Canis lupus familiaris: one gene and its partners. The protein of the gene in region 2 interacts with the protein of the main gene of each other region in a biochemical or structural test. Links are inferred from orthologs where the notes say so. Each region holds a gene or a part of one and is shown on either strand. Other genes may lie near its edges.

Evidence for each region.
Region 1: the proteins of GADD45A (region 2) and CDK1 form a complex in vitro, tested with the Homo sapiens proteins (5 studies listed by BioGRID). The link is inferred for Canis lupus familiaris from reciprocal best matches to the Homo sapiens genes GADD45A and CDK1.
Region 3: the proteins of GADD45A (region 2) and AURKA form a complex in vitro, tested with the Homo sapiens proteins (2 studies listed by BioGRID). The link is inferred for Canis lupus familiaris from reciprocal best matches to the Homo sapiens genes GADD45A and AURKA.
Region 4: the proteins of GADD45A (region 2) and EEF1A1 form a complex in vitro, tested with the Homo sapiens proteins (2 studies listed by BioGRID). The link is inferred for Canis lupus familiaris from reciprocal best matches to the Homo sapiens genes GADD45A and EEF1A1.
Region 5: the proteins of GADD45A (region 2) and PCNA form a complex in vitro, tested with the Homo sapiens proteins (4 studies listed by BioGRID, with this or other methods). The link is inferred for Canis lupus familiaris from reciprocal best matches to the Homo sapiens genes GADD45A and PCNA.

Annotation. Positions count from the first base shown.
Region 1 is NC_049225.1:13,553,833-13,560,310, forward strand, and holds the start of CDK1 (cyclin-dependent kinase 1), read left to right. Parts: upstream 1-2,063; 5' UTR 2,064-2,148; exon of another isoform or gene 2,149-2,273; intron 2,274-2,650; exon of another isoform or gene 2,651-3,293; intron 3,294-3,947; 5' UTR 3,948-3,973; coding exon 3,974-4,010; intron 4,011-6,478. UniProt on the Homo sapiens protein: Plays a key role in the control of the eukaryotic cell cycle by modulating the centrosome cycle as well as mitotic onset; promotes G2-M transition via association with multiple interphase cyclins.
Region 2 is NC_049227.1:77,928,491-77,934,837, reverse strand, and holds GADD45A (growth arrest and DNA damage-inducible protein GADD45 alpha), read left to right. Parts: upstream 1-2,850; 5' UTR 2,851-3,000; coding exon 3,001-3,044; intron 3,045-3,263; coding exon 3,264-3,365; intron 3,366-3,899; coding exon 3,900-4,134; intron 4,135-5,590; coding exon 5,591-5,704; 3' UTR 5,705-6,274; downstream 6,275-6,347. UniProt on the Homo sapiens protein: In T-cells, functions as a regulator of p38 MAPKs by inhibiting p88 phosphorylation and activity.
Region 3 is NC_049245.1:42,345,411-42,352,003, forward strand, and holds the start of AURKA (aurora kinase A), read right to left. Parts: upstream 3,995-6,593; 5' UTR 3,948-3,994; coding exon 3,923-3,947; intron 2,936-3,922; coding exon 2,889-2,935; intron 322-2,888; coding exon 42-321; intron 1-41. UniProt on the Homo sapiens protein: Mitotic serine/threonine kinase that contributes to the regulation of cell cycle progression.
Region 4 is NC_049233.1:35,819,474-35,825,873, reverse strand, and holds the start of EEF1A1 (elongation factor 1-alpha 1), read left to right. Parts: upstream 1-2,594; intron 2,595-2,709; coding exon of another isoform or gene 2,710-2,818; intron 2,819-2,881; coding exon of another isoform or gene 2,882-2,982; intron 2,983-3,528; 5' UTR 3,529-3,562; coding exon 3,563-3,706; intron 3,707-3,969; coding exon 3,970-4,149; intron 4,150-4,263; coding exon 4,264-4,560; intron 4,561-4,661; coding exon 4,662-4,812; intron 4,813-4,898; coding exon 4,899-5,155; intron 5,156-5,233; coding exon 5,234-5,468; intron 5,469-5,578; coding exon 5,579-5,703; 3' UTR 5,704-6,400. Other genes in the region: uncharacterized protein LOC119874198, read right to left, coding at 1,692-1,937, 2,264-2,594, 2,710-2,818, 2,882-2,982. UniProt on the Homo sapiens protein: Translation elongation factor that catalyzes the GTP-dependent binding of aminoacyl-tRNA (aa-tRNA) to the A-site of ribosomes during the elongation phase of protein synthesis.
Region 5 is NC_049245.1:16,933,801-16,938,520, forward strand, and holds the end of PCNA (proliferating cell nuclear antigen), read left to right. Parts: intron 1-1,918; coding exon 1,919-2,042; intron 2,043-2,125; coding exon 2,126-2,205; 3' UTR 2,206-3,277; downstream 3,278-4,720. UniProt on the Homo sapiens protein: Auxiliary protein of DNA polymerase delta and epsilon, is involved in the control of eukaryotic DNA replication by increasing the polymerase's processibility during elongation of the leading strand.

The DNA of each region.
Region 1 (6,478 bases), on a different chromosome or scaffold from region 2:
TCCTGGAGAATAGTTCTAAAATAGTTCTGGGGCACTTGGGTGGCTCGGTCAGTTAAGCATGTGCCTTAGACTCAGGTCATGACCCCAGGGTGGAGGATCTCCCCCTATTGCCTGCTTCCTGCTCCACAAGAAGTCTGCCCCTTCTCCCAACTCACGCTTTCTCTATCTTCCTCTCTTTCGGTCTCAGATAAATAAATAAAATCTAAAGAAAAAAAAAATACTTCTCTTGTGCAGCCCCTTAGGACATTATTCAGGGCTCTTCAAGATTCTCATTCCAAACTCTCTTCCCTGCTTCACATCCCAGAGGCCCTGCAGCCTCCAATGGTCGCCTGCCTGTGGACTCCCTGTACCCTACAATTGGAGGCATCCTGAATTATTCAGATAGATTTTCAATGCTTACTGTTTGGAAGCCCCACTCCACAGTTCTTTCTCCAGTGTCTGTTTGAATTTGGTGATTTACCTCTCTCTGTTCTCATGTCACTTTATAGCATAAGTTACAACATAAGTACCATCATAAAATTCTAATCCTGTGTTCTCCCACCCCCAAGCCTAAGCAAGAATTGTATCTGATTAATTTTCTGTCCATAAAGTACTTTAGAGACCCTAAATTCAAGTTGGCCCAAAGAATTAATAAACTGAATTTGCTAAGATGCTAGGATGAATTTACAATAACCCCTTAAAGTTTAAAAACAAAGATAATTGAGTTAAAATGAAAAATCTAGCATCACAGCTATAGAAGCTTGTGATCTTCATGTTGAATGTAAAATGGATATAATGAATTATAAGCTGTTATTAGGTGCTATAAAATGAATGCCTTGTTGAGGCCTCCCAGAGAGAAATATCTACATGCACTCATTAAAATCAGTACCCTGAACTGACAGAGAACAGTCATCTTCCCTAGAGTACTTCTCTGGGGTAGTCAATTTTCATTTAAAATGTGAACTTGGGTGTTGAAAAGTAAGTTTTACAAGTTCTTAGGTTCAGGCAGAGATTTCACAACCACCTACCTCCAATGTGAACCCCAAGTGCTCTGTCACCTAGGAGCACAAAATTGTTAAGACCATGTGTTGGTACCACAAATGGTGCCAGATGACAGATGCTTCTCACTGTGTAAAAAAGGTACTAAACACTTACATGCATGTGATATACTAGCTCATTGTTTATCCTAATCTGGGTCTTTTTTTTTTTTTTTTTTGGTATATGGAACAGTTCAAGAATTTGTGCGTCATCTTTGCGCAGGGACCAACTTAATCTGTTTTGTTCCAATTTTAGCACATTGCTGTCCAAGCCAGCACCTAATCTGGCTCTTCTGACAGGTCTTTGTAGCGTTCATGGTAATCCATCCTTGTTCTACATTCCATTAAGAGCAGCCCTTATTAGGTGACTCTTATTGCCAGTTCTATTTTATTTTTTAAAGACTGAAAGAATGATGTTCAAGTGCAAACATCTCTCTTAAGGTTATTGTGGAGGGCAGTGAGAGAGAGAGAGAGAGAGAGAGAGTTTTTGATACTTAGTTATTTAAAGTATAATTTAGGTCTCCCCCCCCCCCAAAGACTTGTGAATTTTTGTGTTCTAAAAAACTAAAATTCTGTTGTGAAAATATTTAAAAATCTAAAAATGTAAAATTTTGTCTTTCATTTTTAAATACATGGAATTTTAAGTAAATGGAAACTTTAAAATTCTGAAAATAAAGTAAAAACAAAGCATATATGCGTGTGTGAAATGGATTCCTTTGGCCCAGCCGGAAAATCACCCACTTAGAAAAACACCATTTACGGTAGCTTTAAGTATTAGAAGTGAAAGTGATGGAATCTGAATGTCAAGGTAGCATCGCTTTTGTGATGAGAGAGCTGAGTGCAGTACGTTTTAATTGTGCCAATACTGAACAGGGAAGAACCCGACCCAGGGCCAACAGTAGATTTCCGACGACCAGAAGCAGTAGGACGACGCTCCCCAGCGATGAAAGAAAGCGCCTGCGCTGGGACTCAGTTGGCGCCCGCCCTCCTGCTTTTTCGCCAGCCGCCGTTTCCACCCTCTTTCGCGCTTCGGCCTCCCGGGAAGCCCAGCCCCGAGCGTCGCTGAGCTCCGATTGGCTCCTTTGAAAGTCTACGGGCTGCCTGATTGGCGGGCCCCCGGCCCTTTAGCGCGGTGAGTTTGAAACAGCTCGCGCTCCGCTTCAAAGCTGGCTCTGGGAAGTTGAGGCGAGAGCGACGCGGACGTGGAGGCGGCCGCTGCTTTCGCCGCGGGACAGTAAGGCGGGCGGCCTCGCTGAGGTCAGGGTCGTTCCTGCGGGGCGTCTGCGCCGCGGGGCCCGGCTCGGAGGCCGCGGCTGGTGGTGGGAGGCCGCGGGGGGCCGCGCGGGGCCGGGCCGGGCCGGGCCGGGCCTCCGGATCCTAGGCCGCGCCCTCGCTGGGGCCCCGGGGCCCGGCCCTCCGGGGAGGCTGGCGGGAGCCCCGACGCGGCGGGCGCGCTCCCGGGCGGGTGAGGCCGCCGGCCGGCTGAGGAGGCCGTCGGGGCGTGGCGCCGGCCGGACGACGCCGATTGCCGGGCTCCGGCCTGGGCCCCGCGCGCGCCGCCCTGCTCCCTGGCGTGGCCGGCCAGACCCCACCTGGGCCAGGTGCCCGCGTGGGAGCGCCGGCGGGCCCCGCTGGCCTGTGGGCCTCCCCGGGGTTCCCTGCGCCCGCGGCCCTGGCGCGCCCGGAGCTGTGGAGAGACCCGGCCAAGGACAGAACCAGAGGAGGAGGAAGCTCGGGGTGGCCCCTTGACTCTAAGCTGTTGTATGTGCTGTGCCATCGGCCCACAGGGAAGGCTCAGAAACGCCTCGAGAAAGCACATACGCGTGTGCTCAGTATTCCTGATCGGTCTTTGTTTAACACTAGAGCTCCCCATGTGCACGCCTGCTTGCTTGCTTCAAAGACCTGGAGGCCTCTGGGTAGGAGACGAAGCTGTGGTGTCGCGGTGCCGGGCCCCAGGGGCAGGGCCTCCAGAGGCTTTGTGAAGCCGCGTCCTCTCTGTGAGATTGTCACAGCAGCGACACGGAGAGCCGGCGAGGCCTAGGAAACCCAGCTTTGAAAGGCTTGCTCAGAGCGAGCTCGACAGTTGGATTGTTCGTCAGGCGTGTTAAATCTGGGCGTCGTAGAAGGGATGATTACCGTTCTGTAAAATTAAAAATGTCTAAGATGGGAACTCCTAGCCAGTGTAGTGCAACTTCGTTCATTTAAAAAGATTTTCTTGCTTCTACTTCTGGCATGATCCCGGAGACCAGTGCGAGCGTCGACTACCCAGTGACCTATGTACGTAATCTTATCAGGGATGAGTGTGTTAGAAAGTCAAGGTAATTCTACTCTGGGCTTCTGAAGTGAAGATTTCTTTGGCAAACTTCTCAGCTGAGGACGTCTTGAAGGTCTTGTCAGCCTCTCAACTGACGTTTAAGCAGTCTTGCTGATGGTGGTTGATTATTACGGCCACAGTAGCTCTATTTGTGTCATTAAAACTTTTTTCCTTTTGAATTTTCTTAGAAAAGGGGTACAAATTCAGTCAAATAACATTATTTGACTTACTTAACACAAATAACATTTGTGGAAATGGCTGGGTATAACTGGCAGAAATTGATGCTCCTTAGAAGTGTTACATAAAGAAACACACTTGTTTTTTTGTTTGGGAGGGATAGATAAGTTTGATACCTGAATTTGAGGGTTAATCTGATTGCAAGAAGCAAAGTACTACACTGGCTAAGATATACAAATCCAATGTTTTAAGAGCTAAAAAAGGTGGAAAAATCTTATTGCAAAGGTCCCTTCCCTTGTAAATGTTTTAACATAATTAGTATTTATGGGAAATTAATACTGCAGTAGACACTGGAAAATGCTTTATACTATCATTAAAAACTTAAAACCATCTTTTGAGTTAGTGGCATATGATCAAATTAATTTTTTCTCTCATTTTAGGATCCTACCGTATCTGTTGATTAACTATGGAAGATTATACCAAAATAGAGAAAATTGGAGAAGGTGAGTGGTTTTAATAATAAAAGAGTTAAAAAATGATTTGGTAATGCTCTAATATCTGGGACATGAAAACCTGTAAATATTTATTGAAATCCAATCTTTAAGGTGTCCTTCAGTGCTAATGTGCCTTGATTATATGTTCTTTACATGGTAACATATGCACAAAATGTTCAGATTTCAAGAAAATTGAAATTATTCTGATAGGATTCCCTGCCAACCCTCTCCCATCCCCCTAAAAATCTTATATTTTTTAAGTACTAAACACTTAAAGCAATATTTGTATTTTGAAAACACTATTGAGATCTTGTGTTATGTTTTGGTGGGGAGAGGTTAGGGAAGTAGAATTTTTTTTTTTTTTTTTTAAGATTTTTATTTATTTACTTGAGAGAGCACAAGCAGGGGGAGCTTCAGAGGGAGAGGGAAAAACTGGCTCCTTGCTGAATGAACAGGGAGTCCATGCGGGTCTGTATCCCAGAACTCTGGGATCAGGACCTGAGCTGAAGGCAGACGCTTAATCGACTGAGCCACCCAGATACGCCTAGGGCAGTAGAATTCTATTAAGTTTAATAGTGTACTTTTAATCATGTACAATTCTTTTTAAGTGCTTTTACCCAAACTTTCTAAACTAGTATAATAGACTATTAAACCAATTTATTTATTTATTTATTTATTTTTTAATTTTTATTTATTTATGATAGTCACACAGAGAGAGAGAGAGAGAGAGAGAGGCAGAGACATAGGCAGAGGGAGAAGCAGGCTCTATGCACCAGGAGCCCGATGTGGGATTCGATCCCTGGTCTCCAGGATCGCGCCCTGGGCCAAAGGCAGGCGCTAAACCGCTGCGCCACCCAGGGATCCCTATTAAACCAATTTAAATAAATTTTTTAATTTCCCTTGATTTAAATGACATGTCATGTATACCTGCTTAAGCAATTCTAAAACAACTTTTTTTTTTAAAGATTTTATTTATCCATTAGAGAGAGAGAGAGAGAGAAAGCAGGGGGAGGCTCAGAGGAAGAAGCAGGCTCTCCACAGAGCAGGAACTTGATATAGGGCTTGATCCCAGGACTCTGGGATTATGACTTGAGCTGAAGGCAGGCACTTAAACAACTGAGCTACCCAGGTGTCCCTAAAACCAGTAACTCTTGTATATGATCATTCCCCTCTGTAGTACTTTCATTGAAGTTTTTAAAGAATGTTTATATGGCACAAGTGGAAGGGTAAAAATCCCTTTACTTTTTTTTTTCCCCAAAAAGAATATATAAGTTTCTGTATAAGAGTTGGTATTAACGTTCTAAACTCTATAGGAACAAATGGTACACCTTTATGCAAAGCAATTTGCTATTAGAGTAATTTATGTAGGTCTGTTTGAGGGATATTTCCAATCAGTATATTTTTAGTGTGTTTCAAAACCGTATTTGTACAAGGAATACTACTAAAATCTAGGGGCGGAGTACTGGAAAGAATTTAGTAAGATAGTAATGAATAACTTTAGGTAGTGCACGGGTTAGAGATACATTCTTTTTCTTACCAATACTGTATTTTTTTAATCGCTTAAATACTTTCTTAAATCCTCTCAACTAAATTTTGTTTGAGTTGAGAATAAGTTTTGAATAACATATCTAATGTCTTCTACTTTGAGTTTTTCTTAATCCCCAGAGAATCAAATGAGTGGTGATTTTGTTTGTAACAAAAAGTTATTCTTAAAGTGTAAATGTGTTTTCCTTTAAAACTCTGGAACTCCTAACATGCAGGAGGCTACGTATTTGACTTTAGTTGAAATAGAAGCAGTAAAGAATATAATTTCAAATGTTGCCTCATTTCCTTGAGTTAAATGATTCCCATTCTACCATATGATGTCCTCTCAAATTCCCTGTAGAATTTTGGCCTCTGAGCTTCTGACAATTCTGAGCTTCTGGCTGTTCTTTCACATTGGAAAGCCACTCTGCTGCCTTCATTTTCATCTCATTGTTCTAGTCCAAGTGTATTTTGTAGTTCCCTATTTGTTACCCTTAACATCCTTTTTCTTTACTATACTGCAAGTAAGCTTTCTGAAGTTTGGGATTTTGTCTTGTTCACAACTGTTTGAACAGTGCTTGGCAGTAGTGTCTAGCACTATTGGAGATATTCAAATATTTGATAATAGCAGTATCTATTTTTCTATGTGTGTTTTTCTTTGTTTCTTTTTCTGGCTTGTATTGTCTGGACTACTCCAGTGCCTGGCTGTTTTGGATTATGTTGTGGTGGGCATTGTTTTTGAAAAAGTAAATTGTATCATAATACTTTCCCATGGTATTTTCTTTTGCTTTTTGCCAGATACTTAATCAAATTCTAGCACTAAAGTTTTGATATAAAAAGTTAAATTTCTTTCTCTCGACTTTGATTATTTCCAAACATACAGAGAAATTGAAAGATAAATTCAGTGAACTTGTAATACCTTTTGCCAAGATGTTAATTTTGTCACATTTACT
Region 2 (6,347 bases):
AAGTACTCGGGGTTACTTGGAATAGTTTTAAAATGATTTCACATATTAGAGTTATTTTTTAAAAAACATATGCACACAGGTTCTATACTGACTGCAGGACATTCCTCTGATCTCTCAATGGATAGCAACACCCCCCCCCCCCCAGGGGCTAATAAGTGCTTATGAAATAAATCCTCATCTGTGATCATTCTGATATATAGCTGTAACCTAACTGTAGGGAAATGGGGGCTCCTACTTTCAGCCAAGAGGACCACGGCTGGAAGACAATCCCTGATGAAACATTCTAGGCAGACTCAGCAATGAGGTGAAATGATGTAACATATCTGAGTCAGAAAGCATGACAAATGAGTATTTTTGAATACTGGGAGGCTAGGCTTAGCTCACAGAGAACCCATAACACTTGAAGAAGTCCCTTTCCCATGAGGCCAAATGTAGACCGCAGTATAGTTTCTGAGTGAGGGACTAAGCCCATGTTAAGAAATAACCACGTTATACCACATTTTCACTGTATACAGTTGACCTGGGTGGGGCATTATCAGGGCCGTGGCTCATTTGAATTGGCCTAAACAATACATGGGTTCTGTCCTACAGCTTCCGTTCAGATGACTAAAGTCATGGGACTTTCAGCACAGCTAGCTGATGACAGTGCACACTATTTTGTCCCAAAATCCAGTCCAAGCATGGGCATACCAATTAGATGGCAAACACTTTAAAGGCAAAGGACCAGGGATTGTACAGTTCTTGGTATACAGTGTGATACCAAAATTTTTTTTTAATCAGTTACAGGTGCAATATCTTAAAGAAGAGTCATGCACCGCACAGGACTGTTGGATCCTGAGATCTCGTTCAGCTCTCGGATTCTAGTCAACTTAATAAAACGTTGACTGTTTTGTCAAATGCAGAAACTGCATGAGATGCTGAGAACACTAAGTTCAGGAAGTCACAGGGCCTGCTATCAATAAACTCACATAATTCCCTAATTCTTTGTCACTTGCTGTGATCACACTTTCTTCCAAAGAACCTGTAAGAAACACCTAGTGGATAGAACCTTGAAGTTCCATAGAACACATTCAACAGTTTCCGAACGATGACTCAGGCCCTATTTGTAACTCGGGTTTGGTTTGCAGAACTGAAAGTATTTCAGCACCCACCTAGATTTCAGGTTTAAGGAATTCTTTAACAAAGGCATTACAAGTTAGGATTTAGGACACAGGTATGAAATCCACATGCACCCCTGGGTAAATTAGCCCTTGGCCATGGCCATTCCTTCACTCAAACACGGCCCCTTGCTGACGGTGCAGTTAGGGATTAAGTGCAAAATGTCAGCTCAAATAAATGAGCCAGAAAACCAACATATCACTTTTCTTTTCCACTAAATTAAGATCAAGAGAGCTGGAGAATATTTTGTCTAGAATGATACAAACATGCAGGTGCAAAAACTCCTATGCACCTTTGCAAAAAATTACTTCTCTGACCTCTGGCTATCCAGAGACCTTAATAATGCAAAGCACTGTTTCGAATGAGAGCATATGGGAGGCATTTTCACCACTTTTGGTGACTTCAATAGGTTTAAGACTTGTTTCTGCATTTATCGCATACACTCATAAAACAAAGGCGAGAACTTTCAACCTATGAAGTCAAAGTCTATCCACTGAAGTCTGCTTTTCAGAAGTGTGTTAACTTCTGCTTGCTTTCCACCCACAGGTTGCCATTATCTCAAAGGTGAAATTTTAGCGTATGACTAAAAGGTCCTATAGCTGCAGCTTCATGATTCAGCATCTAACATCAATAACTCACAGTGAGATCACAGGCTCTCTGTGGAAGGTAGTGACATACTTGCCTTATGAAAGGAAGCTCAGGGCATATTGAGAGTATTTTGAATTTAGACTTGTGTGGGCGTCAGACGTGTGTGTCTCTTAGCTGGGGCAGGTGCAGAAGGGTCCTCCTTTGGGAAAAGCTCTCGGGAAAGGTGAATTTGGGTCGTAAGTCTAGCAATTGCACATGCGGCCCCCCTCCTGACCACGGTTTCCAGAGTCACCCTGGGCAGGTGGGAAGCCTCTCTGCTTTCCGTGGAAAAGATTCCAGCTTGGTTCCGTGCCATTACCAAACACAAATGTGTTGATTTTTCTTTTTTGAGCTTCCAACCCTTGCAACCTTCCAAAAATAAATCAAACCAGCCATCAGGGCACCGAAATAATACTACTACTAATAAGCAGCTTTGCCTAGACTTACATAAACAACACTTCTGAAGTCAACTTTGCCCCAGAGGTCTGAAACACTCTTTTTATGTAACCTGCTTACTAATAATTACTAGACTTGGGTGCATTAGCCCTGGAAATAGACTTTAATAGCAACTGCTAAAAACAAAAGACATGAAACGACAATAAAATAAAAATGTGCACCAACCAGAAAAACAGTTGGCAGCCTGCTCGGGGCTCAAGTGGAAGGCACCCCTCTGCCCCGCCGCTGCAGAGACCCCCCACCCTCCTCGGAGCCTCCCACCGGATCAGAGTCGGCTCCGGACCCGCCCCGCCCTCCCCCTCCCCGCCCCGCCCTCCCCCTCCCCGCCCCGCCCTCCCCCTCCCCGCCCCGCCCCCTAGGCCGCTCGCCCCGCCCCCTAGGCCGCCCGCCCCGCCCCCTAGGCCGCCCGCCTTCCGCGTGGCTCCGCCCCCTTCCGCTCCTCTCCCCGCGGGTCCTGGAGCCGGGGTCACATGGTCGGAGCAGGCTGATTTGCATAACCCAATGGCTGTGCGCATGCAAATGAGGCGGGTGGTGATTGGCTGCGGTCGGCCCCATAAGGGCGGCGAGGGGGCCTTTGTCCCAGTGGCTGCGGCGGCGGCGGCGGCGGCGGCGGCGGCGGGCGCAGGGGCGGGGCGGAGCGGGGCCGCGGACGGGCGGACGGACGGGCCGACGGACGCGGTGCAGACGCCAGGCGCCGCGCGCCCGCAGAGGCCCGAGCAGCCCGCACGCCGCGCCCTGGGGCGGACCCGCGGCTGCAATATGACTTTGGAGGAATTCTCGGCCGCGGAGCAGAAGAGCGAAAGGTAGGGCGGCGGCCTCCCGAGCGCCCCCCGCCCGCCCCGGGCACCGCCCCCGAGGCGCCGGCGGACTGACGGACGGACGGACGGACTGACGGACGGGCGGGCGGGCGGACGCGCCCCTCCCCGCGGGCCCTGGCGGCGGCCTCGGGGAGGGCGATGGGGTCGGAGGGCGGCTGGCGGGCCGGGCCTGGGCTGACGCGCCCCGCGCTGGCTCCCGGGCAGGATGGACAAGGTGGGGGACGCCCTGGAGGAGGTGCTCAGCAAAGCCCTGAGTCAGCGCACCATCACCGTCGGCGTGTACGAGGCGGCCAAGCTGCTCAACGTGTGAGTGGGGCCCCGCCCCCCAGGCGACCCCGCGGAGCCCCCCACATGCCCCCGGGGAGCCCCCCCACCTGCCCCCGGGGAGTGAGTCTTACACCTGCCCCCCGGAGACCCCCCCCAGGCGACCCCGCGGAGCCCCCCACATGCCCCCTGGAGAGCCCCTCCAGGCGACCCCGGGGAGCCCCCCACCTGCCCCCGGGGAGTGAGTCTTACACCTGCCCCGGAGACCCCCCCCCCCCAGGCGACCCCGCGGAGCCCCCCACATGCCCCCGGGGAGTGAGTCTTACACCTGCCCCGGAGACCCCCCCCGAGGCGACCCCGCGGAGCCCCCCCACCTGCCCCCTGGAGAGCCCCTCCAGGCGACCCCGGGGGAGCCCTTCACCTGCCCCCGGGGAGCCCCCCCCACCTGCCCGCGGGGAGTGAGTCCTCCACCTGCCCCCGCGGAGCCCCCCACCTGGCCCGGGGGCGGGGGGCGGCGGGCGGGCGCGACCCTGGGACCCCGGGGCCTGCGCGCTCAGCCGCCCCCGCCGCCCGCAGCGACCCGGACAACGTGGTGCTGTGCCTGCTGGCGGCCGACGAGGACGACGACAGGGACGTGGCGCTGCAGATCCACTTCACCCTGATCCAGGCCTTCTGCTGCGAGAACGACATCGACATCCTGCGCGTCAGCAACCCGGGCCGCCTGGCCGAGCTGCTGCTCCTCGAGCCCCACGCCGGCCCCGCGAGCGAGGGCGCCGAGCAGCCCCCGGACCTGCACTGCGTCCTGGTGACGGTGAGGGGGGGCATGGGGGTGCGCGGGGTTGCACGGGGTCGGGGGGGTGCACGGGGGAAGGGCCGGACCGTCCTGGTGACGGTGAGGCGGGGGGGGGGGGGCGCGGGGGTGCACGGGGCTGCGGGTGGTGCGCGGTGGTGCACGGGGAAGGGCCGGACCGTCCTGCTGACGGTGAGGCGGGGGGGGGCGCGGGGGTGCACGGGGCTGGGGGTGGTGCACGGGGAAAGGCCTGACCGTCCTGGTGACGGTGAGGCGGGGGGGGGGGGTGCGCGGGGTTGCACGGGGGAAGGGCCGGACCGTCCTGGTGACGGTGAGGCGGGGGGGGGGGGGAGCACGGGGGTGCACGGGGCTGGGGGTGGTGCACGGGGTCGGGGGGTGATGCATGGGGGGTGGTGCACAGGGGTGCGGAGGTGGTGCACGGGGGAAGGGCCGGACCGTCCTGGTGACGGCGGTGGGGGGGGGCGCAGGGGTGCACCGGGTCCTGGTGCCGGTGAGCCCCGGGGTCGGTGGCGGGGCCGAGCTCCCGACCGCAGCCGACAGGTGTGGCCCCATCCCGGCGGGCGGGCGGGCCGGGACGTGTCCGAGCACGCGGGAGCCGCGGGGGAAGGAGCCTCGTGAGTCAGCAGGGCGGCCCCTCCCCACCTCCGCGGCGCTGCCTCCCGTGACCGACTCCCTTAGCAGGCAGATTAGGTTCAGCCAAATAAATTCCTGGCTCCCCCTCATTAAGGAGTCGGCTTCGTCCTCCAGCGCTCCAAGCTAAAAATAGAAGTGGTGTAGGAGACCGACCTTATTAATTCCCTAGAAATACACGAAGAGGACGGAATGGGGATTGTTTTTTATTTGCAATCTTGGATTTTTTTTTAATGGACCCCCCCCCCCCCCATGACTACCTTTGGTGGGAAGATGACTTGTGTTTCCAGAGATAAATAGGACAGTTTTGTCTTTTACATTCTGCTACTTATGGGCTGGTCTAGGTAAGTGGCGGCTTAATCATTTTGCGTGTCCTGAAAACTACCACCCTGTCTTTGGGGAGGATGACAGGTGGCAGTTCCAGCGAACTGTTAGGGGCTCGCCTCTCCCTGGGCTCGGGGCATGGAGATCTTTGTCCGAGCTGTTTCTCGCTCAGGTGGCTTCCAGGGGACAAGCCTCTGAATGCTACTCTGCTACTTTCCTGCAAAAACGCAGTAAACATCCTGCAGTCCCATGTACGCGGTGCGGAGGGCTGCATGCATGCAGGCTTGCAGGGTGTGCTTTAGAGCATTACGTAGTGGTTTCCCCAGAAATCAGCTACCAAGAAAAAAGTTGATCTTTTTATGGTTGTAACTGGTCTCTTGTCACACAGCCAAAGTACAGAATGCTCAAGTTGTCTTTCCCTCGAAATGAGTGTAATTATTAGCAAATGTTGCCTTTTTTTTCTTTTTTAATAGTAAATGTATTTTTCTCAATTTGTTTCCAGAATCCCCATTCCTCACAGTGGAAGGATCCTGCCTTAAGTCAACTTATTTGTTTTTGCCGGGAAAGTCGCTACATGGATCAGTGGGTTCCAGTGATTAACCTCCCTGAGCGGTGATGGCATCTGAATGAAAATAACTGAACCAAATTGCACTGAAGTTTTGAAATACCTTTGTAGTTACTCAAGCAGTTACTCCCCACACTGATGCAAGGATTACAGAAACTGATGTCAAGGGGCTGAGTGAGTTCAACTACAGATTCCGGGGGCCCGGAGCTAGATGACTTTGCAGATGGAAAGAGGTGAAAATGAAGAAGGAAGCTATGTTGAAACAAATACAAGTCAAAAGGAACAAAAATTACAAAGAACCACGCAGGAAGGAAAACAAACTATGTATTAATTTAGGATGGTTGAGTTACATTTAAATAAACCAAATGTGCTTTGTTAAAGTTCAAATGTGCAGCAGTAGCTTGGGTATTTTTGGTTTATATGCCCTCAAGTAAAAGAAAAGCAGAAAGGGTTAATCCTATTTTAAAACCATATTTTATTGTATTTTGATGAGATGTTAAATTCTCAAAAGTTTTATTATAAATTGTACTAAGTTATTTTATGACAGGAGAAGTTATTTATGCTATAAATTTTTTGAAACACAATACCTACAATAAACTGGTATGGAATAATTGCATCGTTTCTTAATGTGTGCTTTTGTTTCTTTTAACTCGGAATGTATTTTAAACAAGTTTTTTTTTTATATGGAAAAATT
Region 3 (6,593 bases), on a different chromosome or scaffold from region 2:
AGGAATAACTATCCAGTATTAGTCTCAAGAAGTTGATTTACCAGGGGCTGATGACGAGGGTTGCTCACTCTTTTGGGTATTATTCAGTGACCTAGAGGCAGGACGAGGGACACCAGTTGCCTGCAATTGCTTCTGCTTCAGATTCTGAGCCGGTTTATGGCTGGAGACGAGCTTTTGGGTTTGTGGAGGAACTCGCTGGGAAGAATTTGAAGGACACAAGACCCGCTGGGCCTGGCCACTATTTGCAGATAATGGATTCTGTGAAGGAACTTGCTGAGTCACCAGAACACGTTTTGGACCATCACCAAGTGCAATTGCAGTCTAGATTGGGAGGGAAACATAAATTTCATGTCTTCGTAAACAAAAGCTGAGTGTTTTGAGAATTCCACAAAGTCTGTTTTCCTAGTATAGCAAAATACATATTCCATGATAATCCATGGAATGGGAAAGCTATTTTCATCAGCACTCCCAGAGGATATGGTTTGTATACAGCTGAAAGGAATACCTGAATGATACCTCCCACCCACCTCAAAAAAACCATGCCCCCAAAAACATTCATTAACTAAACTTCCATCTAAAAAGAGAGACATTAAACACTTTCTAAGAATTCTCAATGATTTGGGAATTACTACTTGGCAAAAAGCAACAATACCAAAATTTTATAACAAAATCCCAATTCCATTGAAATTTATTTGGCAGTACCATACATGTTTAGAAAAAAAGACAAATATGTCGAAATATTTAACAGTGGTTATCTGAGTCAAGATGTTTTAAAAGACTGAATTTTTGCATTTGCCAGATTTCCACAAAATACTTCTATTATTTATTAATGTTTCATTGTCCAAGTATTTACAAAATGGTTCTGAGCCAAAAGAACTATGGCAAAGAAGAAACAAATAGGATCTTCGAAAAGTTAGGTCAAAATACATTATTTACATGCCAATAAGTGGAGGATCACAAGCTTAAGAAAAAAGTTAATTCTAAGACCTTGAACCAGTCAAACTAAAATGGGGTAGAGGACTTCCTCCAACTACAATGGAGGAAATCTCCTCATAAACACGGAAACAATGCTAGGAAGGGAAGCCTCAGAGTTCATCACAAGCTCACTAGGTATGGGTGCTTCACAAGAGACAGGTATCCAACTTCCAAGTAAAAGTCAGTTACTTCTGAAATTAGTGACATCCACAGGCAGCGACAAATGTTTTAAACAGAGCAGCTTTTAAAAATGATCTTTATCATAGGAATTGAGAATCAGATACAATGACTCAAGTTAGCCTTTTTCTAATTGGTTATTGACTTTTAGCCAGTAAAAAAAAAAAAAAAAAGTTAAGGTATCCATTTACTTGAAAAACTTCTCACACCTATCAGAATGGCTAACACCAAAAACACAAGGAACAAGTTGTTGATGAAGACTTGGGGGAAAAGGAACCCTTGCACACTACTGGTGGGAATACAAACCAGTGCAGGTGAAGCAGTATGGAGGCTCCTGAAAAAGTCAAAAATAGGGGAGCCTGGGTGGCTCCATAGGTTGGACATCTGACTCATGGTTTTGGCTGGGGTCGTGATCTCAGGAGGTCGTGAGATAGAGCCCAAGGTCAGGCTCAGCACCGAGTTTAGAACCTCCTTAACATTCTCTCCCTCTCCCTCTGCCACAGCCGCCGCCCCTCCACACACACACCCCACTCATGCATGCTCTCTCAAACAAACAAACAAACAAAAAAAAAAAAAAAGAAAAGGAAAACTTTTAGGGACGCCTGGGTGGCTTAGTGGCTGAGCATCTGCCTTTGGCTCAGGTCATGATCCTGGGGTCCTGGGGTCCTGGGATCAAGTCCCACATCAGGTTCCCTGCAAGGAGCCTGAGCCTGCTTCTCCCTCTGCCTGTGTCTCTGCTTTTCTCTGTGTCTCTCATGAATAAATAAATAAAACCTTAAAAAAAAAAAAAAAAAGTAAAGGAAAACTTCTAAAAACAACACATACATACAAAACAAGAAACAAGATTTGTATGTTTATGCTCTTTTCCTAGAAGGAAAAAAAAATCTGGGGAATATTTATATTAAAGGATCTTTATATAAAGACTCATTTAAATTCTAAGAGCCAGAGGTACTTCCTTGATGAAGCCTTTCTAGATTCCAACCTATCCCAATCTGAACATCCCTCTGCAGAATTACTCAGGTCATTTCATATACACATATTTTATGAAAGTGTGATACCAGCTCACATAACCCACCAAAGAGCTAATAAGCTCTTGGAAGTCAAAGACCATGTGCTTTTTTATCATTATAACCCCTGCATCTGACACAACCTGGCTCAAAGTGGGTTCCCAAGAAATGTTCACTAAAATGCAGCTTGACAGTCCTCTGAATCATGACCAGAACAGACTATTACAAAGCAATTTAACTTCTGGCAAGCAAGTAAGCACAAGCAAGTATTAGGCACCCATTGTGTACATTATCCCGCACACAATGGAGGAATATAGATACTTAAACAGCTAGCTAGAAGACAAAGCAGAACAAAATAATAGTTACAGTGACAATCAACAAAATGTCACTGAATGCAGAGAAAAAGTGACAGACATCCAGGAATGTAGTAGAGTTCTGAAGTTAAAATCCAAAGTAAAGGTAAAACGAAGTCCAGATATAAAAACCAATCTCCACTGGGTTTTATAAATGTGATCAAGATTACAGATTGGGACGCCTAGATGACTCAGCAGTTGTGCATCTGCCCTTGGCTCAGGGCATGATCCTGGAGTTCCAGGATCAAGTCCCACACCAGGCTCCCTGCATGGAGCCTGCTTCTCCCTCCACCTTTGTCTCTGCCTCTCTGCCTGTGTTTCTCATGAATAAAATCTTAAAAAAAAAAAAAAAAAAATTTAAGATTATTCAACTTACCTTAACAGGCCCTGCAATGCAGTTTTCTTTAGATTTGTCCATAATGCCTGAAAAGAAAAGAGCCACCTTTAATTTATACAAATCCCTGTGCTTCAAAGTGCTACTATGCTAGATCAGGGTTATAGCTCCTGATGAAAAAGCCTCAACAACACAGAATTTCACACTTTTTCTTTGTCCAAATGAAGCTGGCAAGGGAGCCTTGCTTTCTCGGGTAACCTAAGGGACAGGTGTGGGGCCTCCCTCACCCCCCAACTTCACTCCCTGAGACCACCTGCTCCACCACCCCCTCTCTAGGGGATTAATTCCAACAGTGCAGGAGCCTGCTTCCAGCCCTGCTCCCTTTTAAAAAAAAAAGCAGCTTCTCTCTTCCCCATAACATACTCTAGATAGAACAGCATCTTTCCTCTCACTCTTCAACAGCAAAGCTCCAGAACAGTCATTACACTCCCTGCATCCACCATTTCTCTGGCTCTTCGCCCTCCCCCATCAGGATTTTGTCCCTACGGAGGAGTCAGCTCACGACTGACCTCTAATGTTAGCAAATTCAAAGGTCCAATCAGCACCCTGGGCTCCCTGGTGTCCCCAGCAGCATTTGACAGCGTCACTCTTTTTTCTACTCCCAGCCTCTGCTGGCTTGGAGGGTGGTCCCTGACCTTACCAGCTGTCCTGCTGTGACCTCCTTTGCTCCATCAGTCTGACTTTTGCCAACCTGAGAGTCTAGGGTAACCCATGAATGAGTCCTTGGACCCCACTTTCCATCCATTCCCTTCCTAGGGTCCCCCATCCAGAACCAGGGCTCTAAACATCTTTAAGATGACTTGAATTTACATCTTCTACCCTAACCTGTCCTGACTACCAGACTATTACCTACCTCCTGTTCATTATCCCCCACATCCAGACAGCTCTTTTCTCCTCCCGGCTTCTCTTCCCCTCTGCTCTCAGGAGCAGCCTGAGCTCAGGCCTAGAAACACTTCTACTGCTATACTCATTCCCTATTAAACTCATCCAGTCTCCTGGCTCTCAATAGCACTCACAAGCTGAGGACCTCCAAACTTCCATCTTCAGCCCAGACTTCTCCCCTGAACTCCTATCACCTATGAAACATCACCACCTGTAACCAGAGAGGCATCTCAAGTTTAAAATGTCTCAAATGAAATTCCTGCTCCCTCCCTACTCTATCTCCCCAACCCCGTTTTCACAGATGTCCCCATCTCAGTTACTGGCAAACCCATCTTGCCAGTTGCTTGGGTTAACTGATCTTTTACATGATTCTCCCTCAAACCCCATACCTAATCCATCAGCATATTTTGTAGGCTCTACCTTCAAAATCACTGCTCAAGACATTTAATACCACCACCTGATTAAATCAATGCTCTCTCCCCTCATTTCTTTGCCACAGGCTCCCGATGGTCACTCTGCTTCCACCCTTACCCCATGATGGTCCATTTGCAACACTGCACCCAGTGATCCCATTAACAAGTCAGCTAGGCCGGCCCTTAGTTCACAAGCCAAGCCCCTCCTGGTCCCTCAACTCCAATTCAAATTCAACTTGCACAGACAGACCTACAGTCTCTGACCACCTATTGGACTGATCTCCTCTTGCGTTCTGCACACCAGCCATACAGGGCTTCTTTCTTTCCTCAAAGCAGTGCACTGCCTCAGGGCCTTTGTACTTCCTGTTCTCTCTACCCATTTGGCACTTCTCTCAAATACAAGTGTGGCTTGCTCCCCATGACATTCAGGTCTCTCCTCAGATGGCTCTCTAACCATCTCGTTTTTATTTTTCTGCATAGCCCTTACTTAACACCTTACATGACGTTACTTGTACTCGCTTACTTCTGCCTCCCAGCTCCCTAATCAGTATCTCCAAGGAAAGTAAGCTCCATGAGAGCAAGGGCTTAGACTCATTTTGTTTACTGTTGCCCCCTGCCAGAACTTGTCTGGCACATAGTATTTACACCAATGTTTGGGGGAATGAGTTAATCCGTTAAGAAAGCATATTAATAATGAAAATAGTTAACACTTGCTAAGCCCATACTGTGAGTCAGGCACAGTCTAGTAAATCAGAAGAACATAAACTCCAAGAAAGCAGAAACCTTTCTGTATTTTTCCTACCCAGGTGCTCTCCGAATTCTAGAATCCAATCAGAAAGTGCCTCCCATCCCCACGCTTTCACATCCACTTCACAAATAAGCAAAAAACTTCACCTTGAAGATGGAACCACAGCTAAAGAGAGAGGAGTCCTTATGTCCAACAGCAGGTTAGGAGAAACAGGAAGGAGAAAGGAGTTATAAGCTTGTGTTATGCAAACATTAATTTCACACACGCTCTAAGGCTTTCTTCACTTTCCCCAACAACCACAGGCAGCAGACCAATGAGATCACACAGGCCTAACATTTATTCAATCGTCTTCAACAGAAGCTAGATACTTGTTCCAATTGAATATACTTTTCCTTCTCAGAGAGATGAATAATAATAAACAGAATGAAATAAGATGATTCTGATCCAGAGATTCTGGAGAGAGCCCCAGGAAAACTGCCTTTCTAGTGATTCCAGTCCACAGCGAGATTCAGGAGTCCCATGACCCCATGACCCTCACAAGATCCCTGCGGCTCAAACCACATGTCCTACTACTCTGAACAGGAGATGTGCTAAGATTGTATAGCTCTGCACATTTAGACTTTTTCTCCATCAAAACTGCTTAGTGTCTGCACGGACTCAGAGGAGGGCAGCAATGAGTATGTTGCTGACAAGTATTTCATTCAGAGAACAAGGAGGATTAAGGAGCAGATGGAGCCGTTACAAATCAGGGGCAGTAGCTCCATCTACATCTGGAGGACACGTGTTAGAAATGGAGACTTTCGGGGATCCCTGGGTGGTGCAGCAGTTTGGCGCCTGCCTTTGGCCCAGGGCGCGATCCTGGAGACCCGGGATCGAATCCCACATCAGGCTCCCGGTGCATGGAGCCTGCTCCTCCCTCTGCCTGTGTCTCTGCCTCTCTCTCTCTCTCTCTGTGACTATCATAAATAAATAAATTTTTAAAATTAAAAAAAAAAAAAAAGAAAGAAAGAAATGGAGACTTTCGGAGATGCCTGGGTGGCTCAGCGGTTCAGTGCCTGCCTTCCGCCCAGGGCGTGACCCCGGGGTCCCGGATCCAGTCCTGCCTCAGGCTCTCTGCATGGAGCCTGCTTCTCCCCCTGCCTGTGTCTCTGTGTTTGTGTGTGTCTCTCTATCATGAATAAACAAATAAAATATTAAAAAAAAAAAAGAAAGTAAGAAATGGAGACTTTCGAGCTTGACCGTAGACCCAACAAATCGGATTGTGCATTTTAACTTCCCCAGACGACTCGTGTGCGCTGGTCTAGATCACTGGATCCCCACAAACCATCAAGAGAAGCACCTGGAAAACCTGAAAAACTACAGATGCCTGAGCCCCTGTGCCCAAGCGCTTCTGGTTCACGAGGTGGGGAGGGGGGGGGGGTCCCGCATTTTTAACAAGGACCCTCGGAAAATGCCCGATAAAGGCGGCCGGAGGTCTGCGGTTGGAGAAGCACAGGCCAAAAGAGAGAGAGCCTCTCTGCGGAAGCTTCCGTTTATCCATCCACCAAGGAGGGTCCTTCGTGGCTGTTGTAACCAAAGCAGCCCCCGCGGAAGCCACACTATCGTCGTGCGGGTCGGCGTGTTTGTTCGTTTGTTTTGCGAGTT
Region 4 (6,400 bases), on a different chromosome or scaffold from region 2:
GTTGTTGAGTGTCTGCCTTTGGTTTGGGGCGTAATTCTAGAGTCCAGGGATGGAGTTCCTTTCTCCGGCTTCCTTCATGGAACCTGCTTCTCCCTCTGCCTCTGTCTCTGCCTCTCTTTCTCTGTCTTTTATGAATAAATAAAATCTTAAAAAGAAAAAAAGGTATGGAAAGTAATAAATCTAGTATGGCATCCTAATCTTAGTCTGACATAGCACACCATGCAGTTCATATTACTATGATTACAAATATGACAGACTATGGGAATCTAGTTCCAAGAGAATAGTCATTAATATCTCCAAGGAAATAAAAAAGAGCAGAGGTATCTGCATTGTTCTATTGGTAGTGAACAATCTTAATTGGTATTTCTCACATTTTTATTTTATTACAAATATTGACAAGCATATCAAGATGATTTTATTCCACATATATATGATTGGGTAAGGGCACTAGGAAAATACAACGTGAAAAAATAATTTATGAAAGGAAAGAAGCTAGAAAAATAGACATAGAGAATGCTTTTTTGCTGGAAAAAGATATATTAATTTCTAGGGAAACTTTATATGGCCTAAGTTCTTTCATGAAAACTCTCAAAATTAGAAAGAGAAGGCTAGAAACCTACTAATGAAGAAATTAAAAAACCTTATTTTTAGAAGCTTATATCTACAAAGAGTGGTAAAACAAGAAGATATAGGAAGGCTCGTTCAGAAGACTTTTTTTTAAACTTTTTTTTATAATGCTTTTTTTTTTAAGATTTTATTTATTTATTCATGAGAGACAGAGAGAGAGGCCGAGACAGGCAGAGGGAGAAGCAGGCTGCATGCAGGGAGCCTGATGTGGGACTCGATTCTGGGTCCCCAGGATCACGCCCTGGGCTGAAGGCAGGGCTAAACCACTGAGCCACCCGGGCTGCCCAGAAGACTTATTTCATTTACAAAGTAAAAAAGGGATTTGGGGTTGTGAGAAGTAACTGAAAACTAGGACTAGAACTATATTCTACAATGAAATAAAAAGTAAGCACCATACAAGTTTGCCTTTAACTGCTTCCCAGTTGTTTTATATATTAGTTTTCCCCTTCCAATTTGATCGTGGGTTCCTCTCCAAAGGAGAATTTATTTTGCACATGCCACAGAACTCGCTTAGCACTGGACACATAGTAGGTTTCAAGCATTTGTTAACAGATTGGCTGGAGGAGTTGCAGTGATGTTCCACACATGGAAGAGACATACTGATATAGTAACTAGCTCATTAAAAATAAAAGTTCCTTCTTGAAAGTATTTCTCAGTCTGCCCTGATTGCCAACCAAAAAGGCCTCATCCGGTTTCGCCCTAAATTTATGCTCAAATGGAGTTAAAATCCATTTAACAGAAAATGAACTAATTTATTTAAATGGGCTAGGCCACCTTTAAGAAGCAGTGATTCGCAGCAAGTGTTGGGGATAGGAAATTGGGTGGATAAGCTTGCTGAAGCCGTAGATCTTAGTTTCTACTTGAGATCATGCGGAAAGACTGAATTTGAAAAATTCTTTTTAGGTTGCTCATGCTAGCAATCAAATGAGTGTACACTGTAGAAAAAATGTACCACGAGAGTAGACACACATAGGGTCTTTCTATAACGTAATGAAACTAGAGTTAAAAGGCAGACTGTGGGATTGAAATCTATTCTGAACTGAAGAACTAGACGTCTGGAGTACCATATGGGGTGAACGTGTGACTCGGGCTTCGGTAAAAGCAGCGGGCTCGGACTGGAACAAGCCAAAAGGCTAGCCCAAGAGCACATTCGTCCGGGTCACGGCCACCGAGTTGAAACCCTTGCGGATTCTCCGGCTGTGAAGGCGGCCCCTCGGGTCCCTCGCTGCCCTGGGAGCCCGGGCCTTGTACTCTCCAGCCCCGAGAGGAAGAGAAGGCAGGGGCGAGGGAGGAGCCAGCCCAGGGCGGACCTGCGACGAGCGGAGGAAGCGGCTCAAAGGGGCAGTCCTGGACCTTGGAGAGGACCAGGTTAAGAACTGGAGGTATACTGCGGAGGGAAGGCGTACTCCAATCGCCACACCATCTTTGCAGTTAAACCAGGAACCGTAGAGGGCAGATTCAGTACTTCCCCGCAGGGCCGCCTCCTCGCCCCCCCGCCCGCCCCTTCAGCTGGAGCTGAGAGTAATTCATACAAAGGAGGACTCGCTTCAGCCTCGGGGAATCCCAGGGACCGTCGTTAAACTCTCACTAACATAGAACGAGCGGAAAGCTCGTCCCCGCCTCCCCACCCACTCACTCTCGCCGTCATCGGGGTCAAGAGGAGCATGCGCGAGGAGATGTGCGCTCTTTAGTGGGCTGAGCGCACATCGCCCACGGTCCCCGAGCAGTAGGGGGAGGGGATGGCGACCGAACCGGTGCCTGATGGAGTTGGCGCGGGGTAAACTGGGAAAGTGGTGTCGTGTGCTGGCTCCGCCCTCTTCCCCGAGGGTGGGGGAGGACCGTATATAAGTGCCGTAGCCGCCTTGAACGTTCTTTTTCGCAACGGGTTTGCCGCCAGAACACAGGTGAGTGCCGGGTGTGGCTCCCGCGGGCCTGGCCTCTTTGAGCTGCCAGCGGCCCTCGCGTGCCTTTTACAACGGCCGCGCCACCGAGCCACTTTACGATGTTCTTGACCCCGAATTTCGGATTGTGAGTGGGTGGGAAGGTTCCAGGCCTTGCGCCTTTTTTTAGGACCCCTTTTGCCTCGTGGTTGGTTTGAGGCCTGGCTTGGGTGTTGTGGCGGCCGCGTGCGAATTCCGCCGCACCTTCTTGCCTGCCCTCGTACAGTGGTTTAAGCCTCCAGACGTTTGACCTACCAAAAGAAGGCCGCTATGGTTTTCTCCGTCGAGATGGTTGAGCGGAGGTTGGTCAGGACTTGAACGGGGTGGGCTTTTCCGCGGTCGTCGCGTTCTTGGGGTGTGGGGCCGCCGCGAGGCGCGGAGGGCGGCGACGAGGCCCGCTCGTCCCGGCGCACATGTCCGACGAGGCGGGGAAGGCCCACGAGCCGTGGGCGCCGCGTCGGACGCGGGAGAGTCCCGTGGAGTGGGCCGGGCGGCTCTGGTGCCGGGCCTCGCGCCGCGATGTACCGTCCTACGCCGGGCGGAGAGGCCGGCCCGCTCGGCACCAGTTGCGTGCGCGGAAAGATGGCCGCTCTCCGGCCCTGCTGCAGGCAGCTCAAAATGGAGGACGCGGCGGCCCGGGAGAGCGGGCGGGTGAGTCACCCACACAAAGGAAAAGGGCCTTTCCCTGTTAGGCCGCTGCTTCCTGTGACCCTACGGTGTACCGAACGCCGTCTTGGCACCTCCATTCCGCCTCAACGCCTTACAAGCAGGCCTTCCCCGGAGGGGGGAGGGGATTTTATGCGGTGGAGTTAACCCCACGCTTGGTGGGTGGAGACGAGAGTTGGGCCAGCTTGGCCCTGGTTGTAATTCTTGGAATTTGGTCTCTGCGAGTTTGGTCGTGGCTTATTTTCAAGCCTCCGGGACAGTAGTTAAAAGGGTTTGTTCCTACCCTAAAATTTAGGTGTCGTGAAAACCACCGCTAAACCTAAACCAAAATGGGAAAGGAGAAGACTCACATCAACATCGTCGTCATTGGACACGTAGATTCGGGCAAGTCTACCACTACTGGCCATCTGATCTACAAATGTGGTGGGATCGACAAAAGAACTATCGAAAAATTTGAGAAGGAGGCTGCTGAGGTTGGTATACTAACTTAATGAGAGATCGTTAAAAAAAAGTCGGCCAGTGTCAACTTCCCCAAAACTAGTTACTAGTCTATCAGAATCTGCTGCTTGTGGTAGATTGTTTGTGCTTGCTGAAGAGTTTTTTATCTATGTAACTTTGGGAGATAGAACTACCTAACTGTAAAGTGGAATCCGCATTTCTGCTTAAGCAGGAGTTAGGGATTTCAAGTTGGAAGTTTGTGTTTAAGTTACCAAGTAACCATTCTTAATCCTTACAGATGGGAAAAGGCTCCTTCAAGTATGCCTGGGTCTTGGATAAACTGAAAGCTGAACGTGAACGTGGTATCACCATTGATATCTCCCTGTGGAAATTCGAGACCAGCAAGTATTACGTGACCATCATTGATGCCCCAGGACACAGAGACTTTATCAAAAACATGATTACAGGCACATCTCAGGTTTGTAGGATTACTTGAAAATAACTGTAGGCTTGGGTTTTGTATGGGAAAAAAGGGGGAGTTCATCTTTTTGAGGAACATTTATTTAACAGGATGTCTTTTTGTCTTTTAAAGGCTGACTGTGCTGTCCTGATTGTTGCTGCTGGTGTTGGTGAATTTGAAGCAGGTATCTCCAAGAATGGGCAGACCCGTGAGCATGCCCTTCTGGCTTACACACTGGGTGTAAAACAACTAATTGTTGGTGTTAACAAAATGGATTCCACTGAACCACCCTACAGCCAGAAGAGATACGAGGAAATCGTTAAAGAAGTCAGCACCTACATTAAGAAAATTGGCTACAACCCCGACACAGTAGCATTTGTGCCAATTTCTGGTTGGAATGGTGACAACATGCTGGAGCCAAGTGCTAACGTAAGTGACTTCAAGGCTTTGAGGAAGTGATAGAAGAGGCATATGTTGACACTAAATGACAACAGTTTGGGGAATGCTAATGGACAATCTTGTTTTTTTAGATGCCTTGGTTCAAGGGATGGAAAGTCACCCGTAAAGATGGGAATGCCAGCGGAACCACACTGCTTGAAGCCCTGGATTGCATTCTGCCACCAACTCGTCCAACTGATAAGCCCTTGCGTCTGCCTCTCCAAGACGTCTACAAAATTGGTGGTAAGTTGAACATTGCCATTTAAAAATACGATTTATGGATTGTTCTTCACAGAAGGTATCTGACACGATGCTTCTAAATATTTTAGGTATTGGTACTGTCCCAGTGGGTCGAGTGGAGACTGGTGTTCTTAAGCCTGGTATGGTGGTCACCTTTGCTCCAGTCAATGTTACAACTGAAGTAAAGTCTGTTGAAATGCACCATGAAGCTTTGAGTGAGGCTCTTCCTGGGGACAATGTGGGCTTCAATGTCAAGAACGTATCTGTCAAAGATGTTCGTCGTGGCAATGTGGCTGGTGACAGCAAAAATGACCCACCAATGGAAGCAGCTGGCTTCACAGCTCAGGTAACACACTTAAGAGTGGCAATGTTCTCTTTGCTAGATCCTGTTTGAAATGTATTAAATGCAATTTTTTCCTCCAAGGTGATTATCCTGAACCATCCAGGCCAAATCAGTGCTGGATATGCACCTGTGCTGGATTGTCACACAGCTCACATTGCCTGCAAGTTTGCTGAGCTGAAGGAAAAGATAGATCGTCGTTCTGGAAAGAAGCTGGAAGATGGTCCCAAGTTCTTGAAATCTGGGGATGCTGCCATTGTTGATATGGTTCCTGGCAAACCTATGTGTGTTGAGAGCTTCTCTGACTATCCTCCTCTGGGTAAGAATGATTTAAGCATAATTAGAAAACTTACTGAAGCACTAGGACGTGCTATTTGTGTATAGTTTCTGATACAGTTTCTGATAGTGATCTAAAATTTGTTTTAATAGGCCGTTTTGCTGTTCGTGACATGAGACAGACGGTTGCTGTGGGTGTCATCAAAGCAGTGGACAAGAAGGCAGCTGGAGCTGGCAAAGTCACCAAGTCTGCCCAGAAAGCTCAGAAGGCTAAATGAATATTATCCCTAATACCTGCCACCCCAGTCTTAATCAGTGGTGGAAGAACGGTCTCAGAACTGTTTGTGTCAATTGGCCATTTAAGTTTAATAGTAAAAGACTGGTTAATGATAACAATGCATCGTAAAACCTTCAGAAGGAAAGGAGAATGTTTTGTGGACCATTTGTTTTTTTTTTTTTTTTGTGCGTGTGTGGCAGTTTTAAGTTATTAGTTTTTAAAATCAGTACTTTTTAATGGAAACAACTTGACCAAAAATCTGTCACAGAATTTTGAGACCCATTAAAACAAAAGTTTAATGAGAAACCTGTGTCTTGTTTTGGTCAACACTGTAGCCTTTATAGTATTCAGGTAAAAGATTGGAGTTGCACAGAACCTTATTTCTAGTGTTTAAACTGAAATTTGGGTTAACTTTTCCTGGATAGGAAACTTGGAAGTTTTTTCATCTTGTTTAAGGGCAAGAAAGTTAAAATACATAGTAAAAACAAAGTAAAAGCAATGCTATAGGAAAAGGGTCTGTTGGCGCAACACACTTTCTCTTAGATAAGCAAAGTAACACCATATGATAGTTTATAGAAACAGGTTAAGTTCTGTAATACCAAAGTCCATGTGTTGCATATAAAATTTGTATTCTATCACTATGAAGTAAACTTGTTAATGGCATGTTTTTGTTTCCTTAGTTACTGGAATGCATTGTC
Region 5 (4,720 bases), on a different chromosome or scaffold from region 2:
AAGTGCCTAACGTAGTGTCTGGCATTTTATTTTATTTTATTTTATTTTATTTTATTTTATTTATTTATTTTATTTTAATTTATTTATTTATTTATTTATTTATTTATTTATTTATTTATTTATTGTGTCTGGCATTTTAAGTTTACGGTAACTATATTAGATATTCTTGTCCCTTGCGTAAGTAGTCAACCCTCAGGTTAAATAAAGACTTAAAAATATTAGTAGCAAAAGTCCAGAGGCTAATTCTGCATTATCTGTCTCCTAAATCACATTGTAATTCACCTGCCAACCGATTTTTTGTTATAATCAAATTAATTCTTTTTTAAATAGTCTTATATCTGAAGGATAAGCATTTAATGACATTCATTATTTGATATTAAGAAATTTAGCAAAAATATAAAATGAAAAAGAAATTTAGCAGTGTTTCCTATTTTCTTGGTTATTTCAGAAATTTGAATCAAGATTTTAATAGGCACTATACATTTTAGTTTGTTGATAGACCCTCAGATTTCTTTATTTTTTAAAATTTTTTTAAGATTTTATTTATTTATTTATTCACAAGAGACAGAGAGGCAGAGACACAGGCAGAGGGAGAAGCAGGCTCCATGCAGGGAGCCTGATATGGGACTCAAACCCTCATCTCCAGGATCACGCCCTGGGCTTAAGCTAAACCACTGAGCCACCCAGGCTGCCCTCTATTCTTTTTTAATTTATTTTACTTTTATTTTTTAAGATTTGGGCAGCCCCGGTGGCGCAGCGGTTTAGCGCCGCCTGCAGCCCGGGGTGTGATCCTGGAGACCCCAGATCGAGTCCCACATCAGGCTTCCTGCATGGAGCCTGCTTCTCACTCTGCCGGTGTCTCTGCCCCTCTCTCTCTCTCTCTCTGAATGAATGAATAAATAAATAAATAAATAAATCTTTTAAAAGAAAAAAGATTTTACTTATTCATGAGAGACACAGAGAGAGCGGTAGAGACATAGGCAGAGGGAGGAGCAGGCTCCATGCAGGGAACCCGATGCAGGACTCGATCCTTGGACTGCAGGATTCACGCCCTGAGCCAAAAGCAGACCCTCAACCTCTGAGCCACCCAGGCATCCCTCAGATTTCTTTTAATTCATTGGTTCTCCATTCAATTCTGCCCCCCTCCCCCATTACAATTGTTGAAGCAAGTCCTTTGTCACTGAGTTTTCCCAAAGTCTGGATTTTACCCATTGTATCCCTATGTCAATTAATATGTTTATCTAACCTGTATTTCCTATAAACTGGTAGCCACAGCTCCGGAGGCTTGATGATATTCAGTGTTTTCTTTGTTTTGGGAATGAGAGCAAGAATACTCTACAGATGGTGGTGTGTGTACCTCTAGTAGGTGTGAGGTGTGTACATATATTTTCTTAGCCATAATAATCATTTAGAATCATTAGGTCATTAGGGTTATAATAATATATTTCATTCATTTATTAGCTGATTTAATTATTAAAAGCATTCCCATAAAGAGCTTTCTCTTATCACGTAATTTGTTTACCTGAGCTATATATAGTTCAAATGGGAAAGACTAAATACCTGAGTCTTTTGCTTTATTTACCATTACTCAAAATTGGCTACTTTGAAGAATGATATGAAACTAATACATGGTTTTTTTGTTTGTTTTTTAAATGTATATTCTAGGGGTGCCTGGGTGGCTCAGTCGGTTAAGCTCCCAACTCCTGGTTTTGGCTCAGATCATGATCTCCCTGCTTGGGCTCTTTACTTAGCTGGGAGTGTGTTTGAATATTAACACCTTCCACTTGCTCACTCTTGCATGCATGCGCTCTCTCTCTCTTGCTCTCTAATCTTTAAAAATAAATGTATATTCCAAACTAATGAGTTGTAACTTTCTTGATGTTTTTCAATATGATTAATCTTTTGTTTTCTCTTTCAGGTTACCATAGAGATGAATGAGCCAGTTCAGCTAACTTTTGCACTGAGATACTTGAACTTCTTTACAAAAGCCACTCCGCTCTCTCCTACAGTAACACTCAGTATGTCTGCAGATGTACCCCTTGGTAAGATAATCAGTTTGTTGAATCTTGTTTTGTAGATTGCATATGTGGTACTTCTCAATAATTATGTTCCTGTCTTCTTTCAGTTGTAGAGTATAAAATTGCTGATATGGGACATTTAAAGTACTACTTGGCTCCCAAGATTGAGGATGAAGAAGGATCTTAGATATTTTTCTTAAAATCCAAGAAAATAAAATTAAGCTCTTTAAGAACTGCTTCTGAGATGCCAACATGTACTTATGTTTCTTCTGTCATCAAATTTGTACCTCTGAGTACATATGTAGATATTTTCTGTAAATAACCTATTTTTTCTTCATTCTTTACAATTTGTTTAAAGAACAAAATCAAATCTGGACTTGTTAACCTAGAAATATTTCTGCCTTACCTAAAAAGTTCTCGTGATTTTCATAACAAAAGGGTTTTGACTCTAAATGCAGTTTAAATAATTTTTTTCAATTTAAATAAAGGTTTTTTGAATTTCAAATATCAGAAGACCGTGCCTTCATTTGGACTGTTGCAAGTATCCTAAGGAATTCAGTTCAAGCTACCATTTCATGTAAATGAAGTATTCCAAATACAGTAGGTGACAAGATATTTTTGGGGATTCACTTGTCAAACTTATTTTGGTATTCTAACTTGAGTTCAAGAAATGAACAGGGGAGTAGACCAAACCCTATATATTTTTTTAGCAAAAACTAACACTTTTTTCAGAAGCTTTTTGTATCCAAAGCTGTGGGCTTTAGAAGACTAGCATTGCTATAGGCCAGTGTTTCTTTAGCCTAGGGAGCCTTTTAAAAGAATCTTGAAAGATTTAGTAGATTTGATAGGGCCCAAGCAATAGGTTTGTGCAAAAATGATTTTTCTAGTATAAATAGCCTTTTTTGGGACTAGTAGTTGTGAAACAGACTGTTGAAGTGTTACTAATTGGGTCACAAACTGGCATAGTACACGTTGAGAATTGCTTCATTAAAGTCCTTTATCCCAGTGTATTTTGTGCTGGTGGTTTAAATGACAGGTTTCTTTGTTGTAATACCTGGACTGAGTTCTAGTTACTGGACCTTCTGTGTGCCTGGGGGTGGGGAAGGACATTGGCTGCCGAGGGGCCTGACGGGTTTTGGGAGTGATGTAACTTATATGACTGGTGATGGTTCCAAGACTGTATGCACTTCTCAAACTCATCCAATTGTGCTTTATTGTATGTAAATTATACTTTAATAAATCTGACATTTACAAAGCTTCATGTGCTGCAAAATGTCCCTTGTGGGCGGGCCTCTTATCTGGGTAAGGATCGACATCCTGATCGAGAAGAGAGGGAAACCAGCACTAGAATGTGGGGCCACGACAGTAGTGGTGGGGTACTGACCAGCAGAGCCCACGCGGCACGGCGAGGAAGGGCGAGGAAGGCCTACAGCCCGGGCAGTGAATAGGCGGCTCGGCATTCCAGTGGTTGCTGCACTGTCGGGGTTTCCGTCTCCCAGGGGTGCCGCTTGAGCTCCCAACACTGCGCCTGGGATCAGAGAAAGAAACGGGGCGGCCGGTCACCTTAGACACCCAGCGGGAGTGGCCGGCAGCAAGCCCGGGCCGCAGCCCCAGCCGCAGCAGCGACTCCCGCGACCTCACAGGGCGAGACTCCACCGGCGCCCCCCTCCCCCGCCCCAGCTCCCGGAGCCTCCGCAGCACGCTCCCCCGAGCGCAGGGCCAAAGCCGGACCTTCCAGAGAGCGGAAGGAGGGGGCGTCGCTCCCGGTGACGCCGCTTCCGGCGCGCTGCCTTTCGGCGCATCGCTTCCGGCGTCGAGCTGGGCGGGTGGGGCGGGGTGACAGTTAGGCGAGGCGTGCCATGAGGCCTCGGGCGCCTCCGCTGCCAACCGTGAGTGAGCCGTCGGCGCGCGGGCGGCCTGGCGCGGCGCTCCGGTAAGGCGTGCGTGCGGCGGGCGGGAGCAGAAGCGCCCCCCTCAGGCGCCGGCGGGGCCGAGACTGCGCTGCCCGTCGAAATCTAGCTCCGCGTCCGGGATGTGGAGCGTTCGCCAGACCGGCCGATGCTGGCCTCTTCCCAGAAGCCGGTTTTGTTTGTTTTCCGCCTAAATTCGTGTCGGTTTTTCTTTGTCTTCCTGGCTGGGTCGGGAGATGGGCAGGAAGGTAGTGTGTGTGTGGAGGCACGTGATGCCAGGCTCTGCGCTGACTGCTTCACTGATGCTTTCAAGGTCTTGCAACATTGGCGTGGGCAGGGAGTTTGCAGGTTGTGGTGCAACCGGTTAAAAAAAAAAAAAAAAAAGCCTTTTGGGAACTTGGGCTGCTACTTTGAAAACCTCGATTTACGTTTTTCCTTTCTCTTGCAGAATTCTTACTCTTTGACACCAGTAAGCTTTCGTCTCCCTTGTTCCTTATTACACCCAGCGCTTTTTTATGTTTTGATGCAGGTGTAGGAATAGGTAATGGCAAAGTACGGAAACTTTTTTTGAAAAGAATACAAATCTGAAGTGATTAAATGCCCTCAAACTCCCACATACCGGTAATTTGGACTTTATAGAGTTAAATTTAGATTATCATGAAACCGAGATCGCAACACTTAAAAATCTAGTATTAGATGCAGTTTGAGCTAACTTTAGAAAAGCATATAAATTAGCATACTCGATTGAGTACTTGATTTCTGCACTGGTGTATAATTGCTAAAAAGGGACAT